4 linked regions of the Arabidopsis thaliana genome follow. The protein of the gene in region 3 interacts with the protein of the main gene of each other region in a pairwise test. Each region holds a gene or a part of one and is shown on either strand. Other genes may lie near its edges. The genes, in order: AT4G32600, AT1G60410, AT4G38690 and AT5G15500.

The links.
Region 1: the proteins of AT4G38690 (region 3) and AT4G32600 interact in a protein complementation assay, tested with the Arabidopsis thaliana proteins (one large-scale study listed by BioGRID).
Region 2: the proteins of AT4G38690 (region 3) and AT1G60410 interact in a protein complementation assay, tested with the Arabidopsis thaliana proteins (one large-scale study listed by BioGRID).
Region 4: the proteins of AT4G38690 (region 3) and AT5G15500 interact in a protein complementation assay, tested with the Arabidopsis thaliana proteins (one large-scale study listed by BioGRID).

The regions. Positions count from the first base shown.
Region 1 is NC_003075.7:15,721,701-15,730,050, reverse strand, and holds AT4G32600 (C3H4 type zinc finger protein), read right to left. Parts: upstream 6,707-8,350; 5' UTR 6,377-6,706; exon of another isoform or gene 6,241-6,376; intron 6,132-6,240; exon of another isoform or gene 6,094-6,131; 5' UTR 6,042-6,093; coding exon 5,374-6,041; intron 5,178-5,373; coding exon 5,052-5,177; intron 4,959-5,051; coding exon 4,670-4,958; intron 4,593-4,669; coding exon 4,314-4,592; 3' UTR 3,910-4,313; downstream 1-3,909. Other genes in the region: AT4G32610 (copper ion binding protein), read left to right, coding at 154-474, 876-1,140, 1,314-1,675; AT4G32605 (Mitochondrial glycoprotein family protein), read left to right, coding at 2,187-2,360, 2,522-2,847, 3,439-3,622; AT4G32590 (2Fe-2S ferredoxin-like superfamily protein), read right to left, coding at 7,270-7,326, 7,443-7,505, 7,751-7,813, 7,982-8,035, 8,244-8,350.
Region 2 is NC_003070.9:22,255,243-22,262,753, forward strand, and holds AT1G60410 (F-box family protein), read left to right. Parts: upstream 1-3,696; 5' UTR 3,697-3,772; intron 3,773-3,869; 5' UTR 3,870-3,886; coding exon 3,887-4,786; intron 4,787-4,876; coding exon 4,877-5,017; intron 5,018-5,104; coding exon 5,105-5,284; 3' UTR 5,285-5,545; downstream 5,546-7,511. Other genes in the region: AT1G60400 (F-box/RNI-like superfamily protein), read left to right, coding at 1-68, 155-298, 395-556; AT1G60420 (DC1 domain-containing protein), read left to right, coding at 6,736-6,840, 7,136-7,511.
Region 3 is NC_003075.7:18,071,704-18,078,834, forward strand, and holds AT4G38690 (PLC-like phosphodiesterases superfamily protein), read right to left. Parts: upstream 4,255-7,131; 5' UTR 3,997-4,254; coding exon 3,040-3,996; 3' UTR 2,617-3,039; downstream 1-2,616. Other genes in the region: GRP2 (glycine rich protein 2), read right to left, coding at 537-1,148; AT4G38700 (Disease resistance-responsive (dirigent-like protein) family protein), read right to left, coding at 4,880-5,452; AT4G38710 (glycine-rich protein), read right to left, coding at 6,438-6,648, 6,844-6,882.
Region 4 is NC_003076.8:5,030,259-5,037,858, forward strand, and holds AT5G15500 (Ankyrin repeat family protein), read right to left. Parts: upstream 3,283-7,600; 5' UTR 3,186-3,282; coding exon 2,870-3,185; exon of another isoform or gene 2,591-2,869; coding exon 1,533-2,590; 3' UTR 1,390-1,532; downstream 1-1,389. Other genes in the region: AT5G15510 (TPX2 (targeting protein for Xklp2) protein family), read left to right, coding at 3,862-4,706, 4,789-4,834, 4,947-5,039, 5,135-5,254, 5,375-5,473, 5,772-5,831, 5,918-6,012, 6,129-6,330; AT5G15520 (Ribosomal protein S19e family protein), read right to left, coding at 6,984-7,056, 7,151-7,334, 7,419-7,509.

The sequences.
Region 1 (8,350 bases), 2.4 Mb from region 3:
TAGCGACAATTCATCAGCTTTTCCTTTCCCATCCTTCATTACCTTAACTTACTCGAGATTCATCTTCCAGCTGAAATTGTGAAACTTCGTTTCTGGGTTTTTATCAGAAAACACTCTGTGACTTATTGTGTGGTGATCGAGGAAAGAAAAAAGATGGTTGGTGGTGGAAACAGGAGAGATGAGGGATCGATGCCGATTCAGAACACCAACTTGTTTGCTGCTTTGGATACTTCGAGGAAGAAGAAGAAGTCTGATAAGGCTGGTAAGAGCAAAGCTTCCTCTAAGAGAGAAGATTCACAGAAGGAGCCTGAGCCACAGGTTTTCTGGGCACCTACGCCTCTCAAAGCAAAGGCTTGGGCTGATATCGATAGCGATGATGAAGATGATGATTATTACGCTACCACTGCTCCACCTCAGTCCCTGTGGAGCACTTCTGAAGCCTCCCATTCAGATGCTAAAGACGTTCCCGCTGAGGTCACAAGTCCAAATCTTTCATATATATGTTGATTTTGGGTTCATCATCATAGCTTTATGCATTTCACATGTTGAAAATTGTAACACTGGTTTAATATGTCTCTTGCAATAAGCCTCTTTAGATTTCAAATGCTTCCACGAATTGAATGAGTTGGCCTTTTTTTCTACTGTTGTTATCTCGCTTAGGCTTAGGCTTGTGTTGTCTGAATTCTGAAAGGGAAATTAATGTTATTGTGAAGTAAGCTGCTTTGTCTCCTGAAGGTTCATATATCTAATTGCATTGTTATCGAAATTTTTCTAGGCAATGTAAGTTTGTTGTGCAATGGTTTCTCTAAACCGTGGTTGTGTGCCTATCTGTTCATTTGTTTCTCATAGAGATGCATTTGATTTCAATGTCGCAGGAAATTGAAAGCGAAGAAGACACTCTTGATGATGGAGATGATGATGATGTGGAGGAAGATCACGAGCAGGGAACAGAGACACAAGTTCATCCAGAAGCAGAGCCTGAGGTGAAAAAGGCTCCTGAAGTTCGTGCTCCTCCTAAGGAGGCAGAGAGGCAACTTTCCAAGAAAGAGAGGAAAAAGAAGGAACTTGCTGAGCTTGAGGCTTTGCTAGCAGATTTTGGAGTTGCAACCAAAGATGAGAATGGTCAACAAGACTCTCAAGGTATAGCACAATTTCACTTTACTATATTCACTCGTTGGTAACAATTCTACTCTACTCTATTCACTCGTTGGTGATATTTATCTGTGGATACCTTTCTACGCTGAGGTATCACTGGCTGAGAAAACCATGTTATGGCTAATACTGATAGACGTTTCTTCTGCAAATATGAACAGATAAGGGGGAGAAGAAAGAAGTGAATGATGAGGGAGAGAAGAAGGAGAACACAACCGGAGAATCAAAGGCCTCAAAGAAGAAGAAAAAGAAGGACAAACAGAAGGAGCTAAAAGAATCCCAGAGTGAAGTGAAGAGCAACTCGGATGCTGCAAGTGAGTCCGCTGAGCAGGAGGAGTCTTCTTCTTCCATCGACGTCAAAGAACGGCTAAAGAAGATTGCATCAATGAAGAAGAAGAAATCAAGCAAGGAGGTTGATGGTGCTTCAACAGCTGCTGCAAAGGAAGCAGCTGCGAGGAAGGCAAAGTTGGCCGCAGCGAAGAAAAAAGAAAAGAAAAACTACAATCAGCAACCTGTGAGGTGAAGAAATCAATCCACCCACCGTTGTGATATGAACATAGGTTTTGTTCATATGAGACTTACTTGCCTTGAACAAATCTTTTGATGGGGAATGTGGTTGGGTCGTGTTTTAGAGTTATGATAACTTTGGATCTTTTAATCCTATCACAATGGAACATGACAAGAAGAAACTCTGTTTGAATTTTTCCTTTTACATACATTCTTTGCTCATCATGGTTATACTTGGATTTGTTTTATCTCCCACAACAATTTCTACTTCTTGATCTTACATATTATTAGTTGTGGCTAAGCCAGCGCTTAATAAAGTTAATCTATGAGTCTGAATCGACAAAATCAATTGATTATTTTAATTATATGTTTATCAAACGAATTAGATCATATTTTTGACAAACCTAAATAGGTATATTTCTCTTGCGGTTTATTCGACGAAAAAGAAAAGTTGGTACAGTATTTATTTTACTCTCTTAAGACAATTCGTCGTGTTGCTTGCTACTCTCGACGACGGAGAAGTAGAAATGTGGAGAAGAGTGATCGGAAATGTCGCCGTCCGGCATCAATTACAGCGAGCGCTATCTAGTAAAGCCGGTGGAAGTGGAAAGAGCGCCAACGTTTCAGCTGCAGTGGATTCGATGCTTCTGCGTTCCCTCAAGGAACATTACTTAGAGGTTTCTAAGATGACTCCTCCTCCGGTTCGTTCCTCCTCTTCTCTCTCTCTTTCTGTGTTTTCTCTCTATGTCTCGTCTTAGGTACAACTGAAATTTCAGTACTGTTACTTAAACCCTAGCTTAGCTGCTGCTTCCTCCACTTAGGGTTTATGGTGGGATTTACAGATTTTTGATTGATTTTGCAGAAAGTGAGTCCTCCGTCACCATTTGAGATTGTGAAAGGGTCGCTTGAAGGAAGTACTGGTGCTGTTCTGAAGAAATCTGTTGGAAATGAAGAGATCAATCTTTTCGTTATGCGCTTGGCTCACGGAGGTGATGAAGAAGACGATGGTGGGATCAACCAGTTGTTCCTTCATGTTGCTGTATCAAAGCCAAATCAGCCTGATTCTTTGCATTTCCTTTGTGGCCTTTACCCTGATGCATTGGGTATTCATTCTGTTTCCATGAGGCCAAAACTTGAGGCTTTGGAGATGTCTGATGATCCTACTCAATACACAGGCCCTTCTTTTGAGTGAGTTTCTCTCTTTTTAACTTCTTTTTAGTGAGTTTAGAGACTTACTCAATATATGCTTGCCTTTCTAGTTATTCAGTTGATGGTTGAGACCTTATAGGTGATTCATTTCTGTTTTGAGCTGTCTCGTCTTGCTACACTCAGAGCTCTCAAACTAAGAATAGGCCAACTAAGTATATCGTCATTCTTAAATAATCTCTGACTCTCTCAAGGATGATTTTAAGAAACAGCTTATCTCTTTTGTACCAGTTATTGAGGAATGTGAATGTAGAATAGAATGGTGGTAGATGTGTTCTAGACATTTCGATTTTTCAGTTTCAGTTACTGCTCTTCCTCATGTGACATATTTGTAGTGCAGTCTCACTATTGACACACAATCGGTTTGTTTCTATTATGAAGCCTTTGAATCAAGGATTTGTCTCTTGTCATGTTCCTTACATTCTTCTCTCATTGCATTTCTCAGTTTTAAAGAAGAGAGTTTGTGCATCCTATTCAGCATTCTGTTTTCTCTGTTCTAAAGATAATGCGTAACTTACAATTGATAGAAAATTCACTCGATTGGCAAGTAAGTGTTTCTATTTGTTTTGACAGAGAGCTCGATGAGAAGATGAGAGATGTATTCCATGGATTCCTAGAGGAACGAGGTGTGAACGAGAGTCTCTTCCCCTTTCTTCAGGCATGGCTCTATGTAAAGGATCACCGTAACCTACTGCGATGGTTCAAATCAGTTGGCACGTTTGTTCATGAAAACCCATCTGCAGAAAACACCGCCTAGAAGGACGTGTCTTTTCGGTCTCTGGATCGGTTTCTGCGGTTAATTTTTTTAGTATGGCACTATACCGCTTTTAAATGTTTCAGGAACTGAATCACTTTTATTTTCAAACCATTTCAAAACATATGCATCCGAGATTAATGTTAAGAAAAAGTTCTCTATTCGACTGTGTGAGCTCTCTCTACTAAAGGCAAAACTATTATGATCTTTATGCTTCTTGTAAGTTACCGGTTCTCACACTAATTTTACCGAGCCAACGAGTCAGTGTCTAGTAATTCAAAAACTAAGATAACAAAATCGTTGAAGCCATTAAAAGTTTTGTGGTCCAGTATAAAGGTATAAATATTTTATTTGGTTTATTCTAATTTTTCGCAGAGAGACCATGAATGAGGCACTTTAGCTGCACAAGGTCTCGAAAGATCCCTGGCTCTCGTATAGAGGTGGTACTCGTGACAAATTCAGAGAATAAATAAAAACAAGTATTTGGAACACGCTCAAACTCAATCACCGATTCTCGAACTCTTCTACACTCAAGAGGTTCCAATTCACAACGGCAAAAAGCATTTACAGAACAGGATCTTCGCCGTGTCTTTCTTCACCTTCTTAGCAATGAGAAGCAAACCCCATTTTGTGTAGGAACATCGCCAAACGGCTAATTTGCCGTTTTCTCGGACATAGAGCAAATCTCGAAGATCTAGATAACATTATTGGCCAAACCATTCTCAACTCTAAGTTCACTCCGTTGTTGTTGTTGCTGTTGTTGATGGTTATCGTTTTCCCCAGAAGAGAGCGAGGTTAAGATCCCTTGGCTAGTCAAATCAGAGTTCTTCTCCCCAACTTCGCTCTTGCATAGAGGGCAAGAGGCATTGATCTTCAGCCATTTGTCAACGCACTCTTTGTGGAAGAAATGTGAGCATGGAAGCTCTCTTAACTCCTCGTTATTCGCATATTTCGCTAAGCAAATGCAACAGACCTGCAAATATTTTTATATTCAGCAACTTGATTGTATCTGTGTGTTTATGTGTAAATTCAAAGTGTAAGGAAACTCACTGCGTCCTCTCCTGAAATAGCTCGTTCGTTATCTGTTCCAGCCGCCACAACTCCACCTTCGCTAGTACTTGAACCATTGTCATCGCCATTACTTCTGCTTTTCTTCAACTTAAATTTATGAGTCGGCAACGCATTAATCGACTCAGGTGTGGCACCTCGAGGTTGCGTTAAATCTTCTCTATATCCGAGAATTGAGATTATGCAAGGCAAGCAGCAACATATTGTTGTACAGAGGATGAAGGGCATCGCGTAGCCAATACAGCTAAAGGTAAGAAACACTAAACATAACCTAGAACATACAAGAGAACAAAAATATGGGTCAGTCTTGGAAAATGCAGTCTGATGTTTGAGTCTAATTGCTGTATATCTAAAAGAATATCACCTGTACAAGTTAGGAGCCTCGGCAGCAGATGAATGCCCTCCAAATATCCATACATTACCTACCACAAACCACACCGCAAAGAAGCAATCCAGAGCCATTTTGAAGTATTCCACGATAACTTTAAGTCTGGAAGCCAAAATCAACGACCAAAATCATACTGACTCAATTAGATTGCAGATATTTTCAACACAAAGAAAAAGTTTAGAACAAAAGAGACATCTAAACTCTCAATTCTCAAAAATAAGAAAAGCTTTGAGAGAAAACGTAATTCAAAATCCAAACTTTCAGTTGAAACAGATCATCTAAGAACATGTGTGTTTACCTGGCAGCACTTATAAACCCAGGATATCTACTACCACGAGAAGAGGTGGTATTGGTCTGTCGACCATCTGCTTCGGATGTCCTGGATATCGAGAAGGCGAATGGTCCTGCTGCAACATTAAGATTAGGACGGTGCTGACCAGAATCCTGTTCAGAAGCCTGATTCGAATGATAATATCTCCAGTACAAAAGCGGGAGTGTAGCAACGCATCCACACGCATAACCAACAATCCAAGTGAACAAAGGAGCACGAGGATGCTCATGTTTTGACAAAGACAAAACGACAATAGCTGCAATGATCTGACCAACAGTGAGGAATAGTTCAATAGAAATCCATAAGCCAGAATTCAAAGGACTTCTTCTACGACGGACACTTCTAGGATTTGATCGCATAGAAGAAGAAGAAGAAGCTGTAGCTGTAGCTGGCTGAGGAGCAGCCATGGGAGAAACAGTAGAAGGTCTCTCTTCCTCATGTTGTAAAGGTTCCAAAACATTTGAGATTCTATCATGAGAAGATGATGATGATGCAATGGCGGCATTTCTTGGAATGTCAATGATGATGTGCTCATTTCTGCTTAGATTATTCTCTGGTGATCTTTCCATGAATCTAGAAAAAGTATCAGCTTGATTTGTAATACGATGTTGTTGTTTCAGAAGAGAAACACCCATCTAGGTATTGTCCACTTTGCGCATACCACACCATGGAGCTTAACCAAAGGTCCTGCAAATCCACAAAGAAAGCTTAAACCCTCAAATGACCTAAAACAACCACGAAAAATCATCAATTTATGTCTGTTTCAAGATTTTGACTCATCAGAATCGACCAATCCAAGCTTAATCATACATGAATTAAAGGAAAGAAACTCACCCAGATTATACCATAAAACTAGGGTAAAATCAAAGAAAAATCGTAAAAGGGCAAAGATTTATCAGAAGAACAGAAGCATATAATTGGCGCCTGGGATTAATCTCAGAATAAAATCAAGCAATTAGGGGAAACAAACCTTCTTCAATGGGGGTGAAATTTGTTTCTTTTCTCGCTGGTCGCAAGGTGTAAAATTGGAGAGCGCCGCAGAAGAAGAAGAAGAAAACCCAGAAACCAAGACAACGAATCAAATTAAGAAGAGTCAACTTTTTCAACAATCGAAATCCTTTGCTGTTGTTGATCGTGTAGCTTCTTCAAATGTATTTTGCGATTATTTTAGATTTTTTTTTTTGTGTTCACCGATCAACCAAGGGGAGATTAAAAAAAAAAAATTATGGATATAAAATTCGGAGCCAAACAGCAATCACACAAAAACTAGTATTATATATAAATAAATGTACAAAGAAAAATTCAGATAGTGATGCTTTCTTTGGCTCCTTCCTCTTTATATTTTCCCTCAACAAGAAAAAAGTAAAAAGTAAAAATGAGAAGATATTGCTTTTTGACTTTACCCCTGTTTTACGGGGCGGCGCGTAATCTAATTAGATGTTCTGAAAGTTGTCTCTTCGGTGACATTCGATAAATAAAGTGATCTGAAAGTTGTCAAAGAAACGGTTCGAATACTAAACCAAGTTCTTATTTTTTAGAAACACGTTTTCAAAGCTTAAGAAACAAATGCCATTTTCAGCTCAAAAAGGTAAAACATGCTACTGATTTTCAGATCATCATAAAAACACTTCCTACCGAATCTTCTGACCAGCTTCACTCCTACCGTATCTTTAAGCAAATTTTAAACATTTCAATCATGCGAGCTAGTTGATAGTTTCTCTCTTAAATTTCACTATCATGGCACCACATATCCAAGAACTAAAGAAAAATACGTCTAGACAAACGAATCTTCCATTAATACGAGACAACATTCATACAGAGATGTGTTATATACACATAAATCTGAGACAAATAACCTTTACATTAATTCACTTCTTCCACTGTGGAATCCGCTGCACGACAACCTATATCCAAAGCCGACTTTTCTCAATGAGAAAGATCATAAAAAGGAAAAATAAACTCTTATGATCCCAAATAATGGGCACATTAGCGTTTGCAATTTGCATATGCATAAATTGGTGTATGAAAGTAGGTACCTTTCCTGAGTTTTCTTTGTTCCCTACTATTGTTTGACATGCGAGTCTCCAAGATTCCGGCTTCTGCACAATAGTAACAAAACCCTTAAGATTTAAACAGCCAAGGCTCTTATTTTATCCAAAATTTGCATATCTAAGAAAAGTTACTTAGTAACCATATCAGACAACAAAACATATATTCACATTTAACCAGAAACAATGCTCAACATTTCATTCATCTTGTTAGTGCACATACCCATTCCAAACACTAGCAATGAGAAACTTGTGAATCTAACAATAATATAGAGAGGAGTGATCAAATAACTAGCCTTTTTCAGGTACCGGTTTTCTGTATCTGTTCTCTCATTCAGAAGATCTCTGCCATCGAGTATCTGCACACAAGAAGACCAAATGTGTATTTTTTTGCTTTGAGTTACTGGTCATCATAAGAAGACCAAACACAAATCTATTTTCCTCCATTGATATCCATGAATGCTAGAACAATCATAGCTCATAAATTCATAATCAGAATCTAATTAACATTGTATGAAGTCACTTGCCTCCACAATGCAAGTTCCACAGCTTCCTCCACCACCACAGTTCATCACTTTCCCCTAATCATCACAAATTGACCAAAATCCAAAGTTTACATAAGCCTTCAACAAACCATCTCCTCACATCAAAATCTAGAACTAAATATTTTCATTGTCTACTAAATTATTCCAGAAACTAGTTCAAACATCAAATCAATCAATGTATTAAGATTGAGAAAATCTGAAGTTAAATTTCGTAATTAAAGAGAGAGAAATCAACATAACTCACGTAAGCAGCGTAGAGTTCAATTTTGTTATCCTGCATAATGCTTCTGAGAAGCTTATCTCCACTCACAGCCTTTGCTTTATCTACCGGATATGACCCGTCGCTACCCG
Region 2 (7,511 bases), on a different chromosome or scaffold from region 3:
TGATCAGAAATTTTCTCACCGGGATATCCAAAGTCCGTGAAATGACCATCTCAAGTCGAACGTTAGAGGTACATTTAAATGTTTTATTCCATAGCATATATGTTTATACAGTTTCTTGAATACATTCTTTCTTTCTTGCTACATATATACACAGGTCATCCGTGGCTATCACTCCATGGTGAAAGCATTACCTCAATTTTCCAACTTGTCTAGCTTGGATGCTTTGTTAGTCGAATCATATTGGGAACTCTTACCAGTCTTTCTTGGTTGTTGCATCAATCTAAATTCACTCGTCGTGGTGAGTTTAATTTCATTTGCATATGCTCATGTAATTACATTGGGATTTATATCCCAAGAAAATATTACAATTTTTTTTGTTTTGTTATATCAATAGGAACTTGATGGCCTTTCCGAGATAGAGGAGTTTAAAGTTTCACCACTGCTTCAAGATTCCCTATCTGCTCGTGGGTTTGTTCAGCAGAAGACACCAGTTTCAGTCACAAAGACATCAAGTGAAAGGAAAATAGCAGCATATTTTGTGAAGAAAAGTGGCTAAAAGTGAGCAATAACATATTATTATCTGGGGTTCAACCCGTTATCTACCAATAATCCATTTTATGTAAGACTTTATAATTTTTTGGTGGACATGACTTTATGGTTCCTGGTTATATGGATATTTGTAAGGTAAATTTCCGTTTTTGGTTGACAAGACTTTATGGTTCCTAGGTATACAGTTATTTTTTGAAATCGTAGTCGTAATACTCTTTCTTGGTTCCCTTGTTCCATCTACGGTAAACTCTGCAACCCTAGCTCTCTATGCCTAGTGAACCCTTTTCCTTGCTCAATACTCTTTCCTGTCTAATTGAGTCTAGCCTTCTTTTTCTGACTTGATTAAAATCACACGACTTAAGTTTATGCGAACTCTTTATTTTTTATAAAGTTAAGTTAACAACCCTGGTGATTTTAGAATTGGTGAGGAAGATATGATTAGCAAATTACAAGATTCTTTTTTATGTGATATATATGTACTTATGATTCCCAAAAAAGGATGTGCTTACGACCAGCTTTTTGCCACATATGGATAAATCTTTGGCAATATATATGGCTCGATTGGATTTTGAGTTTAATGGCCTTTCATAGATTATGCTAAAATTGGAGTATTTTCAATAGGTTTGATCACTGACTTAACTGGGTGCTTTACAAAGAGTTATGGTAAGGCATACTGTTTATCAAAAAAAATAAAATTGTAAGGCATACAACTTCATACAAGATATGAAGATATCATATCGAGGTAGAAACAGGATCGCGAGTACTATACAAAGAATTATTAGAGAATTCAACAGATATATGTTCAAGATAATACAAAGTACGATAGTGTTAAAAATACCTTCAAGTCTTCAACCATTTATACATCATGCGACAGATTATTATTATACAATTCCTTAGAAGTATAATTAAAACAAAATAAATAGTTGTATTTTAGTGAAACTAGCCATATTGAATTTTGATCCGTTAATTACAGTTCTATAACAATACGAAAATTAAATAATTGTCAATAATTACAAAAATGATCAAGATCAATGGATTACAAGGATTCAATGGGAGGACAAAGCCACTAAAGTTACTGTTTTATATTTAGCTGTGCTGCAATCATATGTCGATGAAACTTTAACTTTCATTACTAAAAATTTTCATCTTTACTGGGTTTCCACACTAAATTTGTTTCTTCTTTGCTTGTCTATTCCCTCAAACTAAATCATCATGGTTTGGGTGGGTCAAAGATTGCAACGGCTCTTCTCTGTCTATGCTTAACCCTTAATTAGTGTACGCTTTGATGTCCTTTGAGATGGTTCTTACTTCTTAGCTATTTTGCTTGTATACAGTTGTTGAAGCTGGTAGAAAAAAACGAAAGAAAGAGATCTCTATTGGCACTTCTTGGCGGGAAAATAACAAATGCAAACATGGAAATTTGGGTTTGCCTGATCTAGAAATACAAAACGAAGATGTTTTTGTTTGTTTGTTTTTTTTCGGAACTTTAAACAGGAAAAAATTGTATAGATCATGAATCTTACAATGGTATATATAATAGAATATTTTGTTTCATGAAGCGATATGTGTTTTGTTCCTCGATTATCATGTCTTGCTATGGTTCTTATCTATACACTAATGAATGTTTCTTCTCTACTAAGTAGTAATTAAGTGCTATACGGGAGGGTCGTTTCGATTATTCGATATATAGTTATTTCTTTTTTCTTAGATACTTATTTTGATTTCTATGATGCAAATAGTAGTATAAATATGCATTAATGCAATTATCTTCGCTTTCTTCCTTTCTAAGACGAATTGCTTAGCTTCTCGTTATTGTCTTTGAGTTGTTTCTCTCTCTCTCTCTCTATTTTGCAGCAACGTGAGGCTGTGTCTTTCCATGAGCAAGTGGTGAATCAATTTTCTCAGAGGTTATGTGTTTGGAGAAGTTATATTCACAACATCTCCAAAAATATGTATTTAAGACCATTTCAGGGATATCAAATTGGTCAAAATTTAGAAAATTGAAACTTCAAGAAACTACATTTTAATATATATACTTTCTCTTTAACCACGTAACCATTTCCTATTCCCATTATTCTTATAAAAATCGTTCCACATTTCTGTATGTCCGTTAATGATTTTATGCAATCTAAAAAAAACTATACTATTTTATATTGTGAGTTGTTGTTTTATTCAATTACCAATAATGTACTATTTAGTTGTTTTTAAAAAATGGCTAAATATGTTAGGCACAAAATTAAAGATACCTTCTACTATCATATTTGCCAAACACATATTTCCTTTCCTTATCCTCTTTAAACCATTACTCAAACACACCTTATTTTGTTCTTATATATTTTGAATATCCAAATTTAGTTTTTTTCAAATATCTCTATTGATTATTACCATATATGATTTGTTGAAATTTATGTACATTTAATGCTTTGATTTTTTTAAATGCACTTTACATTTCTATATAAAACATTACATATATATATATATACATATATTAAAATGTAGTCATTTGAAATATTATACATAAAATTATTTATAAGATTGGAAAGCATAAAATTAAATATTATAAATGATCATTCATAAAATTAAATAGCATAAGATTTACCTAGACTAGCAGGCAATTTTACCTAGTTTTGGTTAAAACTTACAATGTATCTCTCTTTCATAAAAAGTGTAATTTTGACACATTTCACACATTAAAAATGAGTTAAACATACAAATATACCCTTATTTAATATACCCCTAATTATACCATAATGATTTAAATAGAAAATTTCTTTTAGCTTTAGACAAGAGGAAAATCTGAAAACTAGTTAAAATGTAAACGATATTATTTTGTGAATTGTGAAACGGATAGAATTGAACAAGAGTTGAGAAAAAAAAACGGATACAATTTGAGCTTTTATTCTTGAAAGACAAAGAGTTAACAAAAAAAAAATCAATCATGAGTATTTCAAGTATTCTTTTATATTAACAGTAAATTAAATACATATCATTATTTCGATTGACAATAAAGTTCATTAAATGTAATTAAAAAAAAATCACAACGTTTCGTTTTGTGGTCAATAAAATATTGAAGAAATTTGAAAGGGCGCTCACGACACGTTTCGTATAGCCTCTTTTTATTTTTCAACTTATTATAAAAACTGTCAAAGAGGAAGAAAATCTAGCGAGAAGATCTCTGGTCGTCAAATTGAAGGTTCTTCTTCTTCCTCTCTATCTCTACTAGGTAATCTCTAACCTAATCTCTGAACTCTCTTTCATACTTTGGATTATGTTTGATTAATTAATAATAAATTAATAGTGTAGCTTTGTCCGAAATATAGGGTTTCCGGGAGAAGTCATGGCTAGAACCGAAGTCTCAGGGAAAGATAGGTTAAGCGATTTACCGTGTCATTTGCTATGTCGCATCCTCTCTAATCTCTCTACCAAGGAATCGGTTCGTACTAGCGTTTTGTCCCCTCGTTGGAGTAATCTCTGGTCGCTTGTTTCTGTTTTGGATTTGGATTTCCAAGATTTTAAAGGTGAACACGACATGGGAGAATTCATAGATAGCTTTATGGAATATCACGAAGAGTTAGGCTTGAAGTTGAAGAGCTTCAATATGTTTTATGATGCTAATGAGCACTTGCATGAGCCATTTGTGAGGAGGCTAAATAAAGTGGTTAGGCGTGGAGTTTGTGATCTGAATATTCAGAATATGGTGGATGTTGATGTAGCATTAGTTAGGATGCCTCCCTCGCTTTATTCATGTGCTACTTTAGTGAATTTGATTCTCTACTGTGTTGTCTTTGATCATCCAAGATCAAAATCGGTTTCTTTACCTAGTGTGAAGAAAATGTATTTTGAGGGGGTCAAGTTTGATGGTGATTCTGTTCTGGAGACTCTCATATCGCATAGTCCGGTTCTTGAGGAGTTAACCGTGATTCCGCATCCGGAGGATTATTTGGAAGTCATATGTGTTCGTTCTCAATCACTGGAGAGCTTTAGACTTGAGTCTAAGCGTTTTGAGTGTGACAATCCCAAAGTTGAAATCGATTCTCCAAGCCTTGAGTTTATGAGTATCTGTGATAAGAAACCTGAAAGCCTTAAAATACATAGAATTGGTCCTTTTGCGGAGGTAACCGTTGATGTTGAGTTTGATGTTGAGGATGATGATCCATTGGAGATATCTAAGATACGTAAGTTTCTCGTCGGGTTATCCACATTTCACGAACTGACCATCTCTGCTCGAACTCTAGAGGTACACATATGATTGGTGGATTAAATATAACATTAAGCTTGTACAATTTTGTATATGGTGTTGACTTACTTTTTTTTTGGCTATACACAGTCCATCCATGACTACTCCAAGGTGGGACCATTGCCTCCATTCTCTAACTTGTTTGGCTTGGATGCTTCGTTAGTCGAATCTTCTTGGGAAGTTTTACCAGCCTTTCTTAGTTGCTGCATGAATCTAGATTCGCTCGTCATAGTGAGTTTCATTTATTTGTCTATATTTCACGTAGTTACATTGAGATTCATATCCCAAGAAAACTTATCAAAAGTTTTATGTTACTAGGAACTTGACTGTGTTCCAGAGATGGAGGAGATTAAACTCTCACCAGTGCCTCAATGTGTCTTATCCTCTCTCGACTTTCTTCAGTTGAAGGCACCATCGACACCAAGTAAAATGAAACTTGCGACATATTTTAGGAAGAAGTGTACACGCTTGACGAAAATGCTTTTAAGTGGGCAGTAACATCATCAAGAAAATGAAAAGGATTCCAAAGATATGCTGAAAGGTGTCAAGTTGTTATGTGTATAATGTCGTCTCTCCTAAATCAAGTTTACCTATCAACAGTTAATTATCAAATAATCTATTGTAAGACTTTTTAGATTTTCTTGTTAGACATGGCTTTATGTTTTCTAGTTTTTTTTTATGGATGTTCTTTAGTAAATTTCTATCTCTTAAAACAAAATTGAAATTCTATGTTGCAACTATATGTAGGATTGATTATAAATTTTTATATTCTTTCATTGATTCTTACTCGTAAACTATATTGCAATGAGTAAACTTAAAAGTGAAGTATCTTGGACTTCATCCATGTTGTTACGGGTTGGATTCAACGTCAAAGTTTCGTTGAAAGTTTGTTGCTATAGTTTTCTATATATATATCACATGCATTGTAATTAGGTTGCTATAGTGTACAATACATGTAAAATATACAAAACTATAGCAACAAAGTTTTAGATACTTAATTGCTTCCTTTAATCTCAAACCATTTGGTTGAATCTATCAAGTACACAGGACATATGCTCATTCAAATTGGGTAACTAAGAGCACCCCCAACGCTGGACTCTATGAAAATCCCTTAAAAACATACAAATAATAATATTTTAATCTTATTAGGGCTTCTGTATAATTTGACCAATAATAAAAACACATGTATATAATTTTCTCGAGACTGTCCCTTAAATAAAGAATTTTAGGGCCTCTCTCTCTTCTTACACTTACCTTTTAATTATTTTTCATTCTTTTTATCATTAGAAATTTTGTTAAGGGACCACCGTTGGTGGTCCTCTAATCACGCATGGAGTCTAGACGAAATAAGAAACGCATTAATAAGACATATATTATTTTTTGGTGAAAGTATAATGTAGACAAAAAAAAAAGATAAAGCTTTTGTTTTCTTAGACATAACCCAAAGAACATACCATATATATAGCAGAATTAGATTAAAAACAGTCAGATCAGAAAACAAAACAATCTGAATAGCTAATTGCACAAAAAGCTAGGGTTTTGTTAAGGATTTTCCGAGTTTAATACCGGGAACTGATCCTCGTGAATTGTCGAGATAGCGCTTAATGTTTTGTAAATATTTAATATTAACCCCAAATATTCGATTTTGACCAATTTATACCCCATCGAGATATTTCTACTGCTGACTTTTTAGTGTTTTGTATTTGACCTCGTTTGATGGACGAACCGGAATATAATTGTGTTGGTTGGTCAACCATTTGTTTTTAGCATTTTCTGGTCTTTAATTAATCGCTAAGTAATCTAATTCTGGATTAAGAAGAAAAAAAAACTTCAAAAGAGACGCTTTTATACAACGCTTTGAGCATTACTTGGCCCTCTCAAAAGAATACACAGACCAGTCTTCGTGTGCTCGTAATTGGCGATTCTCAAATTCGATCTCCGTACAAACAATGGCCGAAACCTCGAAGCAAGTCAACGGCGACGATGCCCAGGATCTTCACTCGCTTCTTTCTTCTCCGGCGAGGGATTTCCTCGTTCGTAATGACGGCGAACAGGTAAAATAGTTTTTGACGTGATTTTGAGTTTATGGTCTTCGATCGCAACTTCTTCTGATCTTCGATAACGATCCTGTGATTGTCTCGCGATTCTTTGAACCGACTCTTCTGGTTTACAGAATATAGATAGCTTCGTGTAGTTGATTGATTTGCTATAGATGACTTTAATCGATTGCTTTCAAGTGTTAAGATTCATTCAGTGCTTGGTCCTTTATTGATTTGGCTTGTGTCTATTTCACATGGCTTATGTTGTTTGGGTAGAGTTTAATTTTTTATGCATTTTTATGATGTTTAGGTGAAAGTTGACAGCTTGTTAGGGAAGAAGATTGGATTGTATTTTTCAGCTGCTTGGTGTGGACCGTGTCAGCGGTTTACTCCACAGCTGGTGGAAGTCTACAACGAGCTCTCTTCGAAAGTTGGTTTTGAGATTGTGTTTGTGTCAGGTGATGAGGATGAAGAGTCATTTGGAGATTATTTCAGAAAGATGCCCTGGCTCGCTGTTCCGTTTACTGATTCGGAAACCCGTGACCGTTTGGATGAGTTGTTTAAGGTTAGGGGAATACCTAACCTAGTGATGGTTGATGATCATGGTAAACTTGTGAATGAGAATGGTGTTGGGGTCATACGAAGCTATGGAGCTGATGCTTATCCTTTCACACCAGAGAAAATGA
Region 3 (7,131 bases):
GATATACAAAAGATTGAAAATACAAACGACATCGAAGATAAAAAGTCTAATAATGAGAATGATGGAGACTGCAATTAGTATTCAATTCCTTCCAGTCCATGGAACTTAAATGCCATTAAATGCAAAACATGAGCAGATAGATTTTGTATCTATGGGAATCGTTACATAATCCATAAATAATTCAACCATAAAACGATGATCTCTCAAGATTTAAGTATCCAGATCTTACGATTCATTCAGATGACTGAAACAAAACCCAGAATATTTGTTCGCATATTATGAACACTTGAAACAGAGCAACAAGTAGAGCATTTCACCCATATCACAAGTACCATAAATAAAACCAACCATAAGTAGCAAAACCAAAAGAAGAGTCCTAATCCGAAACCATCAAGAAAAAACCAACTAACAAAGATAGAGATCCATCATAATAAGCAAAAAGTGGATAATAGAGAGATAGAAGGCGGCGGGAGAAAGAACCGATCACTTGTGAGATAACCAACTCACTCTTCTCCACCGCGTAACCGGCGTTGGTTTTAACGTCCACCGCTGGTGCAATCCCTGGCGAAATGTCCCGACTCGCCACAGCTGTAGCAGCTTCCCCCGCCGCCACCACCTCCACGGCCACCACCTCCGTAACCACCACCTCCTCCGCCGTATCCGCCTCCACCTCCGTAGCCACCGCCGCCTCCTCCGTAACCTCCACCGCCTTCAGAACAGTCTCTCGCCATGTGACCGGGCTCACCACACTTGTAGCAGTCGCTGCCTCCTCGACCACCACCTCCTCTTCCTCCGTATCCACCACCGCCACCGCCGTATCCACCTCCAGATCCGCGTCCACCTCCTCTTCCTCCACCGAAACCGCCGCGTCCGCCAGATGAACCACCACCGCTGTTTCCTTGGACGGGAGCGCCGTCGGGTCCAGAAACATCGATGGCCTTGGGACGGTTGTTGTTGTCGATCTCAACCTCGAACTCTACGGCTTCTTCGGCAGCGAGGCTACGGAAACCCTCAGATCTGATGGAGGACTGGTGAACGAAGAGATCGTCGCCACCGTCGTCAGGAGTGATGAAGCCGAAACCCTTCTGGGTATCAAACCACTTGACGGAGCCTTTGCGCCTCTCACCACCGCCGTTGTCTCCGCTCATTTTGATTGGAATCTCTTAATAACTCACTTTTTTCTCTAAATCTTTAAAAAAAACGAAACCCTAGAAAATACTCTGAAATCTCTCTCTCCTCGCAGCTGCTGTTTATATGCGTATAGGAAGGGTGTGGCAAGGGTATGACTGCCACGTCACCCACCCCAATTCATTTTTTCCTTGTTTCCAAGAGGAAATAAAATAAATGTTTTTATTTAGATCTCTATTTCTATATATGTTTGTTCGATTTTTGTCTATTTTTCTAAATTGCCTTCAAAAAAAACATCTGCACATTCCGAATTGTATATTCGAGCGTGATATTAAAATAAAAAATCTCGCGATTAAGATACCCAGAAAATTAAAAAAACATAAATTTCGTTGATTTCGAAAATGAATCTGCAACTAAAATATTAAAAGAAAGAAAAGTAAGTTAAAAAAGAAAAGAGGAGTTAGAAAATGGGCCAGCATGTGATAAGGCTTAAATTGATTAATCCATTTCGGGAAAGAGAATGGATCATTGGCCCAGCAAGCAGTTGCATCTGGACGGTTGGGGTGTTTTTCACGAGGGATATCAGCCGTCAGATTCTGATTTTAGATCTGAAAAGCTAGCTCTCTGGGGAATAGAGAAACAAAGATCAATTAATTTATTTTTATTTTTTTACTTTGTATGTTGTATTTTATTTTTTGTTGCAGTCAACAACAACATTAAAGAATGACATGCAACGTCAGCAACTGGTCAATATACTCTTTTCAAAATTTTCTCAATCTTGTGGTCAAAATAAGCATTAACTGTTGTTCCACTTTCCACGTACATTTTATGAGGCAGATTCACAAATTTTACCAAACAGTATGATAATTGTATGAAGTAATTTGAGAAGACTATTGACCGCAAAGAGATTGTCCTTTGTTGGATATCGATTTTTGAGTATCGATTACAAAACTAAATTACCAAGTAATTAATTTATAAGAGAAATAGAAAATGAGTAAAATTTAAAAATTATTGAGAGATAGAAAATAGATCCCTTTAAATTTAGCTTATAATTCGAAAAATGTGCATGTTTTTATCTTAATCACTTACCGTGAGAAAGTATAGGAGTAAAATGATGTTATCGTAAAGTGCCAAACAACAAATCAAACTTGTGCTTAGCAAAAAAAAAAAAAAAAAAAAAACTGGTATCATTTGAGAACATGACTTAAAACGCAGCCGTTTAAATAAAAAAAGTTGGTTTCTCTGCATCCCATGTCTAGAGTCTAGAAGAGTGGTCTCGCTGCCGATCTCAGCAGGGAGAATAATTTGGCTCGGCTCAATCACTCTTGTGGATCAAATGCTCTTCTTCTTCTTCTTTTGTGTTTCAAGTCTTGAGAAGAAATCTAATCTCAAATTATTAGGATTTTGCACCATGTTTCCATCATCTCAGTTTATAGATATAATCAAATAATGAAATTATAGAGATGCATTGTGTCATTAGCTACTGATATGAATTCTAGCATAACTGATTCTATTATCTTTTTGTTCTTGAAGATCACAGTAGTGTGTAATAAAAAGGGGCATTGCTGCAGAAATATAGTCATCTCTCAGGTTAGCAGCTCTCTTTCACTTGTTAAAACTAGATTTTACCATCAACTGTATACTTCTTCCTTCTGTTTTGCCTGTCTATCAACTACAACATCTGCAAAAGTATCAGAAATTAATAGTAATGAAGAGTTTGGATATCTCGCAATTGTATCAGGATTCAAATAAGTTGTAATGAATTGGAATATACACTCGTAAATCACACACACATACAAATACACACTCACATGTTCTCTTATACACAAGCAACCCTAAAACACATCAACCATGTTCTGATTCTTTTCCTTCAAAATAGATACACAAAGTCTGTCTCCACACGCTCATTCCTCAGGCCTTACCTTCAGCTCTCGCAAAGGTGAGCCCAACGCAAGCATCAACAAATTCATTATCTATGAAATCAGTTGAGAATATCTGCAGTTTATCAGCACATCCTCTTTTTACACACTCTATGATGAATACCTTGGCGTAGCAATGTATCCTCTTAGTCACCGGTTTTACACACATTATTGGGTTATCGGGCTGCGGCGTCACTGTGTTCTCCACCCGGTAAAAGAATTTCCTTGAAGTAGCTGGTTGCTGCTGGCTCAAATGCTTGATGTTGCTCTCGAATTTGGTCGATGGAAGATCTGTATCGATCCAATTGTCTTTAAGGTAACCAGCGCTCCAAAGAGGATCACCATGCTTAGGCTGAGGCGATTTCCTCGGTTTCCAAACGCAGATCACTCTCTTGGGAAGCAGCTCAGCGACTGTCTTGGAGAACACGTGATCGTCCTGGTGAATCAGATGCTCTCCAAGCTGTTCCACAAGATACTTATCAAACTCCGGTGGGTCTTCGTGTCCAAACTCTGTTCTGATCTCAAGAATGACAATCTCCGACTCTGTTTCGGATAGAAACCGTTTGAGATCGGCCAAGACAACGTCGACACTATAAGTCTTGAGGATACCGTGGCATACACGGCGATCTTCTTGGACACGAATGTCAAGGACTCGAGTACCCGCCACGAGCTGGTTATAGATGGAGAGAGATTGGCACTTAGCAAAGGGACGAGACACGAATCGGATACCGATTTTGTTGGTGGCAGAGTCGTGCGTCCCAGGCCAGACGATCTTGTTGATGTGAAGCTTTTCAGGTCCAACGCCGGCCATCCAGTTTTTACGATCGGAAGGCATGTAATCACACCCCGGAAACTCGCAGCCGCACGATTTCTCGAGATCGGTGAGGGCTTTCTTCTCCGTGGAGATGGCTTTTCGCCGCTCGAGTTGTTTGGAAAGGTGAGAGCCCATTGCTGAGGATTAACCCTTTCCCTTTGCTCTCTCTTCTCTGATCACTATATTGAATTCTGTTCTCTCTTGTTTATAAAATGTTCCATGCCTTCTTTATCAATAAACCTTTACTCATAAGTCGTTATGATTGTTTTTTATTTACTTATTATTGGTTTGAAGAAGTTACGAATTATACGTTAATCTTTTAATAATTACGCTACTTTCTCAAAACACCGTTGACATATTCGCAAATTAGAAGTAACTTTCAACTTTTAACTTAACAAAAACCATAGAAAAAAAGTAGTAGCGTTTAATATGTAAGATTAACTGTTACAATTTTTATTGTGGGAACATTTTAGTGTTATAAATGTGAACTGATTGATTAGTTGAGATATATTGAAAGAGTGGTTGAGTTGTAATTGATGGGAGAGTGGGTTTACAATGTATGGTAGGTCCATTTTTGTTGTATAGCTGTCTTCACTGTTTGTTATTTGTCAATTTCTAATGCCTGGCTATTTTCCGACGTGAAAGATATCAATACAACGTGATTTTTATTTCTTGGAAGACACATATTCAAATTTTCTATGAAATAAAAGTCGTTCCTAAAATTTAAACAAGGCATCGATAATTAATATTTTGGATAAAATTCGGATAGGATCCGATGGAAAACCAATCATATACACTCACAGGCCCTATCATGTCTTTTGTAAGACTATCTCAAATATCACGATCCACACAACTAAGATATGTAAAAGAGATTACTAGTATAGATTTTGGGAATTGAGAAGAAAGATTGCAACATAATTAATCAATTTTGATCTCTTGATCATGCAAAATTCAGTTTTGATCTGAATAATTGATTTAGTTGGCCTTTTTATTGTTTTAATCGGAACATATGAATCGGTTAATAATGATAAACAGTAGCATCATATCGGAGAACAGCATCACCAGTCTTCATGTCAATCTTATTTGTTTTTACTTTGACAAAACCTCTCGCCATTCTGAATTTCCCACGGCCACCAACAATCGCGATTTCTCGCTCTCCGACCTCTTCCGCCACCGGATTCCTCGAGAAGATACTGATCGAGCTTCCATTAAACTTCCCTGCCGTGAAAGCCAAATCAGCGTACATGACGATCGTGAATTTGCTCAAGTCTTTGCACCCGGAGACATACATCCCTTGACCATTCCCGATCTCTTTCGAGTGTTTCTCCGGCCCGACGGTGAGCGGATCGTCTATCACAAACAGGCTTCCAAAACCTACCGGCGAAGCTGAGCCACCGGTTAGATTTGCATGTGCGATTCTAACGGCGGTAGGATTTTGGCCACTGAGAGTATCATGGAGATAAAATCTGACACGTGTCACTTTCTCCTCATTCAGTTTAGCCGGTTTGGTGTTGCCATAGTAGGATTCGTGACGCGCCATAACGGCCATGCTCAAACAGAGTGTGAAAAATATTATTAATGTGCTCTTCATAATTTATAAACTTAAGGAATTGATATGAAAGTTTACTATCCAAATGAATCTAGAACATATATATATATATATAGTTTGATCACTTGTAATTTTAGGAATGTTTACAGGAAAAAGATTTTCTCCTATAAAAAGAGGGTATATGTCATTATTTAGAAAATCTATTTGATATTTTTCTATATAACAAAAAGAAAATAGTAAATGCATATGATCCAGGTATTAACTTTGAAAATTTTCTGTCTGATATTGATGATATGTTCAAAATTGTAATAGTGTTTGACAACTTTGAAAACATGTAAAGAGATTTAATTATTTTAGAAAATTATGATTCTAAAAAGCTTTGAGATTCTGCCAAATAACTAGCATAAACTTTATTCGAGGTAAGGATATGTACCACGCGCACCTTAGGAGCGTTGAGCGCGTGTTATCAAAATGGGTAAGCTATATAGTCCAGCCAAAATGCCTATTTTTGATCAATTTTAATATATTCCCAGCTCTAAAGCGCGTGGTATTATCATATTCCCCGTCCCACTACATTCTGTGTGTTTGTACAGGTTGGATTTATTCCTCACCACATATATCTTAAGTGGACTGCACCGATCAAGAAGATTATAGAATACGGGCCAGATCTGATACTGGGTCGGGTTAAGTTGGGCCAATTGGGCTCTTAATAACAAACATCACTCTCTCTACGCACCATTGATCACTGATCAACTAAACGCTCCCAAATTCAAAGACAGATTTAAACCAATAATGAAATTGTACAACTCGTAAAAAATAAAAGACACCCCAAAACCCTAAAAATTGCAACAGAGTATGTGGTAAAAAAAAGAGACAGAGAGATATTATAAAAAAAAAGACCCTACCAAAATTTTCTCTAGAGTTCCCCCACACAACTTAACTTATCCAAATTAAACAACACAAATTCTCAGAAGCTAAACTTCAAGAACCCAAACTATCACAATCCACAAAAATGCCTTTTGACTCTTTAGATTTTGTCCTCCGTCTCTTCCTTCTTTGCCTCTTCTACAGCCGGTTCGCCACCAGTCTCTTCCTTCTTAGCCTCTTCTACAGCCTGTTCACCCTCAGTTTCTTCCTTCTTAGCCTCTTCTACAGCCGGTTTGTCCTCAGTCTCTTCCTTCTTTGCCCCTTCTACAGCTGGTTCCTCCTCTTGAGCATCCTCCTCAGAATGCTCCGTGCTTCAATGTTCAAAGACAAAATAATTTAAGAGTAAGAAACATGCTTACAAAATTTACAACTTCCCACAATACTCAACAACACTAACTAAAAAACCCATTACCATCACGCAGAAAGAGAAAAACAGAGCTCTCTAAACATGGGATGCCAGATCAAAAAAACAAAACAGAAAGAGAGATCCAATCTTTCAGCTTCACTTCAAGACATCAACTTCCATGTATGAATGTAGAGAAAAACTAATAACACCAAATTTAACATATTAACTACTATACTAATGCAGTGATCCATAACACATGAATGATCATCCAAAATCTCACTGTTTATAGCATATATATGAATCCCTATCTCCCACAATATACACAATTTCTTAGACCCATGTCAATAATTTCCACAGACAGTAAGAGATCAATACTTTGCCCGACTAAGATGGTATAATCAGAAAACAAGCAGGCAAACTAAAGAAACGAATCAACCAAGTTTTATTA
Region 4 (7,600 bases), on a different chromosome or scaffold from region 3:
CGTCAAAGATATTAAAGTGTTTTTGGTTACTTATTTATTATTATTGCTTAATTAAATTAAACAAAACACTTTCAGTTAAAAATTAAATGATGTACAGGTAGAAAAAACGATGGGCTCAAAATATTTGGCAGGTTTTTGTTTAAAAGTCTTAGTATTTATTAGTATTGCTTAATTAAATTTAACAAAACACTATCAGTTAAAAATTGAATGACATAGGTAGAAAAAACGATGGGCTCACAATATTTGGCAGGTTTTTGTAAAAAGTCTTCAAGACACGTTAAACATTTGACATATTTCCATTGATTGGATTTCGACCAACTTAAATACACTTTATCGTATTTGCCAAAAAAACATGAAAAATGTTTGTATCAGTCAACAAAATAAACTGTAAATTATATATAAATATATATTTCTTTTATGGATTGTTACTATTTTGTATATTAAAACATATTCAAATTTTATATTGGAAACTAAATAAATTCATTTATTGCCTGTCTATTGTTTACTTTCATTGAAGAAAATATAACTGACTTACCAATCTCCACAATATAAAAAAAGGAAGTACCTTTTTAATTGTTTTTTTGGACAATTTGTATCTCTTTAGCGTTTTTTCCCCAACCTTTACACTTAATCACTTATATTATGGATTCATATTTTTCTGACTTTTTCCACTTATTAAATTTTCTCTTGAGGTAATTGATGCTTCAAAACAAAAATAGCTATGTATATATTATTTGTTCACCTACTAAACAATATTATATATATATATAGACATATTTCTTACCAGCAAAATATATTATTTAATTTGAGAAATATTAACAAGGAATATACATTATTGGTTTGAATCCTTTTCTGTGCGTCAATGTCCATTCATAGTAATAATATACTTCCCAAAGTTTGGTGTTTAGTTTCAATAATGTACATGTTAATCTATTATTATAAAACCATTTTGTATATATGAGTACTTAAGTGATTGTGTGGTGAGGTCTGCAGGACAAACTTCAGACAAAAGACTAACTGCACTTTGCTTAAAAACTCAGTCACACTTTTTGAAGTGCTTCTCAAGCTATATTTGCATAATTATATAAATAACTAATAAAAAGAAGAGTGCGGTTGAAATTTTAATATTAAAGCTATATATAGTTTTAGAAAAATATAAATCGAAACCAAATATATTGAAAAAGAATTCAAATATAACATGGTTCAATATTTTTTTGATTCGTATACAAGTTTGCCATGTTACTTTAACTGTGACCATAAAACCTCAAAATCATGATTTTTGTAGATTCAGTAATTATTTTACTAATTTACATTCGAATTAGAATGCGTCATACGACACCTTCCACTTTCTAGCAACGTATACTCTTGTCAATCATGTAGTCTTTTTATGCACATCATATCACGTAGAGTAAATATTAGAAGCAAATAATAAACAGATATTTCATGTAAATAGGTTTACCCCGAGTAGAGATTTTACACATTATAGAATAAAAATACAAAAGCAACAATAAAATAACAAGAGGAAATTAAGATTACCTAATCACATACCGATTAGGCGCAACACCTCTAGCTTGATCCAACGTAGTGAAACCTTCCCAAACCAATCCACTCTTGGGTCCACGTTGCTTGGTTCTCTTAGACTGCACCCATTCCCAAAACCAAACTACCAATCCCCAAATTATAAGAACCACGATCGCACCCACACCTGCGATCGTGTACGCTCTTGCGTTCGGCTTGATCACATCCCCTGCAACAGAGTAAGCCAAGACCATAGGAACGAACAGAGGGTAATACCAAAACATACTCTCTTGTCCTAAACTCAACAAACGTATCATCATCTCAATCGCAAAGCAGAACCCCGCACTGTTCCACAACCATAACCAGATAAAGTAGACCTCGTCCATAACCACTGAACCCGCTTTCGGACCGCTTGTTCCACTCTTTTGACCACCGCCATCAGACACGCCTCCGGGAGGTTGGAGAACCGTCTGATATGTAGCTGTGACGATGAGAGTTGCGACCACTAAAAGAGCGTTTCTTCTCTCTTCAGAGATCCAAGAATAAAACCGAATCTTCTTCGTCCGTCTCGATTCTCTCCAAGAAAGCTGCGACGCGAGTATATCCGATGTTGTCTTAATCTTGACAAGAGAAACCGAACGTTTTCCACCATGTCTCTTAACCATTCTCTCTATCTCTCTGTTATTGTGTAACACAGCAATGTCGAACACGGTTAAACCGTTCTTGTTCTCAATGTTGACGTTAATCTTGGAGCTCTCTAACAACAATTTCATAGCTTGACGATTGATCTCGTACGCCGCGAGATGTAAAGGCGTGTTACCGTCTTTGTCTCTTCGGTTTATGACTCTTGTCTCGATCCACTCTGCATCTTTTTGACACAATCTTAAGATCCATCCCATGAGAACTTTAAGAACGCTTAATCCTTCTCTTTGGTCGTAGTTATTCACGGCGATGTGAAGAGCGTTTTCTCCGTTCACATTTGCGTCCACAATGCTTTCGGGACAACCCAAGAAGAATTCTGACATCAGATCAATCTTCTTTCTACTTACCGCAACTAGCAATGGCGTCATACCTTTTTTGGACAAGAAAAATGAATTAAACACTCCTGGTATAACCAATCTAGTTCATGATCTGACCATACAATATCGACATAATGACTAGTCAAAAGCAACAATAGACTGAATTCAAACTAGTATTCAATGGACTGTTCGTCCTACTTCAATACTATCTCCAAGATTTGAATTTACTAGATACATATTATAACATTAGTTCGGATTGATTAGAGCTAAAGCTTTTGGAAAAAACTAAGAAACATAATTAAGGGTTCAACAAAATAAGTGAGTGTACGTACCATGTCTCCCTTTAATACGAACAAGACTTGGATCAACCTTAACTACTTCAAGTACTAACCAGAAGTGACCGTGTTCCACGGCGAGGTGTAACGGTGTAAGTCCGTCGGCGTTAAGTTTCCGAGCAAAAGATGGTTTCAAGTTCATCATTTCCATGGCAAACTCTGTTTTTCCATTGACGGCTGCCACATGGAGAGGAGTATTAACGAAGGGCACGTGGTCGGTTTTATCAAGAACGTATGGATCTTCATGGATTAGTTCGTATAGTAGATCGATGTTTCCAGATTTAGCAGCAGCTTCTAATGATCTTTGGTCCATTAGTGACTCAAGAGAACAGAACGACGATGCGAATTATATTTTTGGTGATTAAATATGATGATGAAACTTAATTGGCTACGAAATGATAACTCGTTTGTGAATGAAGGAAGTTCCCAAAAAAAGGAAAAGAGTGGGAAATTATAGGTGACGTGGCAGTATACGTGGACACGTCAGTATCTGATCATTTAATCCAACGGTTGATATTAGATAAATAAGAATTATTGTCTGAAAATTTGATGTGACATGGAGTACAACGTGGATCATATCGGCTCCAGCATCTATTTGATCTAATGGCTAAGATTGTACAAAATAACTCGCTGCTAAAGTGTTGAAATTCGGATGTGACGTGGCATTAAACGTGGATTAAAATCATCATAATCATTAATTTGACAATCTAACGGACAAGATTAGGAAAATAATTATTTATTACTAATCTAAGTTTATTTATTAAAAAAGCACCAAAAAGACTAGCCGTTATTAGAGAGCGTCCAAAGAGCGCCGCAACGGTCACATTTTTCCCCCAAATCTATCTTCTTATTCGATTTACAATACTCCATAGCAAGAACAAACCCTAATTCTTCACCTCCGATCAATTTTTTTTTTGTTGGAGAGATTCTCAAATCTAGATCGATTACTGTTCGTGTTACTCTCTTGATTCCAGATTCTGTTATCTTCGATGGAGTCGTTGACATTGAAGAATGGGAAAGCAGGGACTCCGGTGAAGGATCGGAGCAAGTTTCAGTCCAATCAAAAGATTTCCAGATCATCGGAGAATGCAAACCCTAACATTTCACAAGCGAGTCCTTCTAAATCACCGCTCATGAAATCTGCGAAGAAATCAGCGCAGAAGAATCCGAGTCCGAGCCCTAAACCTACCCAGGCGGTTTTCTCTCCCCGGAATCGGATCAGAGAGAGGAAGTTTGTTGTGGTGGCGAAGAAGAATTCGAGGAAAGGGAAGAAGGAGCCAGCGATTACAGAATCCAAGGCAGCTGAGATAGATTGTAAATGCGGAGAGAGGAAGAAGGGGAACATGAAGTGTGTTTGTGTTGCATATGAAACTCTGCGTGCTTCGCAAGAGGAGTTCTTCAAAAATCGAATTGAATCAGAGGAGGATAAGGAAGCTTTGGAGGAATGCTGTAATCTCGGAAATGGCGATGAACTAGAAGGAAAAGAATCTGGAGAACCGGAGAAAACAGGCGTTTCCACAATGAAGAGATCAAGAGCTAAGGTGGTGGAAGAAGCACGGCAAAGTGTGCCTGTATCTGGTAAAGTGATGAATCTTGTAGAAGCATTTGAGAAACTCACTTGCTTTAGTAATTCAAAGACTGCCAACAAGATAGAAGAGAATCAAACCGAAGAGGATACGAAGAAACCTGTGAAATTGGAATTCTTGGAGGGTGAGAAAGAGAAAAACCCATGGAGTTCTTCGTTTTGTCCATCTGAAATGGTCTTAACAGCTAAGAATCTGGGTTTAGACCCCAATGCTTCGATTTCTTCGTCCTGGGACAGCACCCGTGGCAGGTTAGTTTGTTGTTGACTAAGAGATCTCACTGAAATTATGAACTTGTCTTGTTCTGAATAGTTTGATATTGTGATGTTTCAGTGTTTTGAGTGGAAGTTCAAATGCTGGCAGGAGAAGTAGAAGAAATGTAAGTGTCCTGCATGCAGCATCTGAATTTTCTTAGCTGTTTAATGGTTGTCTGTCTTGCTTAGTATGTCAGTATAGTTTAATAATCATTTTGATATTTCTGTTTATGGCAGAGCATGGAGTCATCGACTACAATGGGAAGTAGAAGATCAAAGAAGAAGCAGGTTAAGGTCACTTCATTGAAGCCGTTTAAGCTTAGAACTGAGGTATGAGTTTCTTTAGATTAAAACTAAAGAAAAATTTCGAATTTTATGGTGGAAATTGAGTCATGACAGTTGGTTGGTCTTTTGTCTCTCTGCAGCAAAGAGGTAAAGTGAAAGAGGAAGAGTTAGCAAAAAAGATACACGAAATAACAATGGAGGAAGAAAAGATGAGAATCCCCATTGCTCAAGGTCTTCCATGGACAACCGATGAACCTGAGGTAAGCATGTTCTGCTTTCCTATTAACATCTCAATTGATCTTGTAAGCTCTAGTAGTAACAATAGTGAGAGATGATGTCTTGTTGACTATGAAAAGTTCTAATGTTGTTTTCTGTTTCAGTGCCTAGTGAAGCCTCATTGGAAAGACATTACAAGACCAGTCGACTTGACGCTCCACTCAGATGTCCGGGCAGTTGAACGCGCAGAATTTGATTACCAGGTAACCTTGCTAATGCAATGATTAAATCTACATTTTGTTGGGCTTGAAGTTCAAGATACCTTAAAACATAGCCGCTGACATGATTTGGCTTCAGTAACCATTTCATTCTGTCAAATCATTTAGAGTATACTTGTTTTCTTATCAGCTGGTTGTGTTAAGACTTGAGACGGAAAGGAAAATAGCTGATAGTGTCAAATAGTGTGTATTGTAGTCTGTAGCCAAGGTTGACTTGTCTATAGTAACTTTGCATTGTTCCATAAATTTCTTCATGTTAAAGTCTGAATTTTTGTTGTTCTAGGTTGCCGAGAAGATGAGCTTCATTGAGCAATACAAAATGGAAAGAGAAAGACAACAGAAGGTAAACTTTAATATGAGATGTTGTGGCCATATCCGATAATAGAGTTTTGCTTTAACTGATTTTGATAAATCCAATATTGTTTTTAGTTGGCAGAGGAAGAAGAGATAAGAAGGCTGAGGAAAGAATTGGTCCCAAAAGCACAACCAATGCCATACTTTGATCGACCATTCATTCCAAGAAGGTAAAAGACTGGTACATAAATACTATCCTCTTGAATCTTTCTTATTATGAGAGCATGATAGGTAATATAGATATTGTTTTCAAGTGAGAAATATGTTTTCAATATAGTTTTCACAGACCAACTAATAGAGTAAACTTTCTTATAACAATGAACGTCATTGCAAAAGCTGACACAGTTGCTTCTTGTTGTTTTCTTTTACCATTAAAAGGTCGAGCAAACATCCAACTGCACCACGAGATCCCAAGTTTCACATACCGCAACACAAGAAGATCAGATGCTGCAGTTCATCTTCTTGGAGTGAAACTGGCTCCTGCATGAGCGATTTCCAATATCAGTTTCTCTAGAAAGCTTCTTTTGGATTTACTACTATATCATCCTTGTTCATATTCTCATTTTCAAAACTACATTACCTTTCTGTAACCAATTAGTTGCAGTTTCATAGATTTGACAATCATTCTTGTTTCACCTTTGTAATAATAATCTGGTCTTCACCCAAGAAAATGAGAAAGATTCCATATTGTTTGCAAAATCTGGTTTGATCTGGTTCAGAAAGATATAATACTTATCCTCCAGTTTGAATTTGGATTTAACTGACTTATCTTATGATTCAATCCGTGTTCCACCTCTCATACATTTGTTTGCAGAATCCGGTGTACATTGGTTTAGTTCTGGTCAAGAAACATATGTGAGTTTTAAATCATCTTCCAATTTAAATTTGTATATGACTGACATACCAGAAGAGTTTTCATAGAGAAGAGTAAATTGTTTCTTGAGATTTCTATGAAGAAGAGTAAACTTGGGATACAAAATCACTGTAAAGAACAAAACTTTAATAGCTTCATCAAATATCAAATTAGTTCGTCAAAATGAACAGAGCAGAAGAGAGTAGAGATCTAAAATCACAAAAGCTAAAAAGATCTATAACATTCTTGAGGCTCCTCCAAAGCAAGCATAAGGAGAACAACAGCTCTTCATGATTCAGCTGCAATACGCCCAGCAACCTGATCCAAATCCCGTTGACCGCTCGAAGTGATTCTTCTCCCTCTGAGACAAAGAATGAACAAAGGAGGAGAGATGAAAGTAAGTCACTAACAAGGTCTTCCTACGAAAAGTGCCTTTAGAAAGAAATAAGAATTACCCTTTAGTGTCAAGCTCGACAATGCTCATTGTCTCCAACTGTTGGAGAATATGGCGAGCAATACCACCACTGCTCTTACAGAAATGTGGTGGTCGACTTCCATTTCTTTTGCTACCTCCATAAATTCTTCTGAAAGCACCAACACCAAGACCTCCTCTCAAGTAAATCTTTCTGGCCATAGAAGCTGCACCATACAAGATATCAACAACGTTCATAACGACTCTATAAAAACAAAAACAAGCGAAGAGAAAGCTAAGCTTTTTTTTACCAGCTCTAATGTAGTACCAATCAGGGTCATATGGAGCAAGCTCCTTCAAACGACCAGTCTTCACAATGTCTGTCCATAGAGGAAGCTCAATCTAAATCAGACAAAAGAGACAACTATTATTACAGTGAATTTCCAATTAGCTGCCTATGATCACTAACATCAAGAATCTATCATTTCTATCT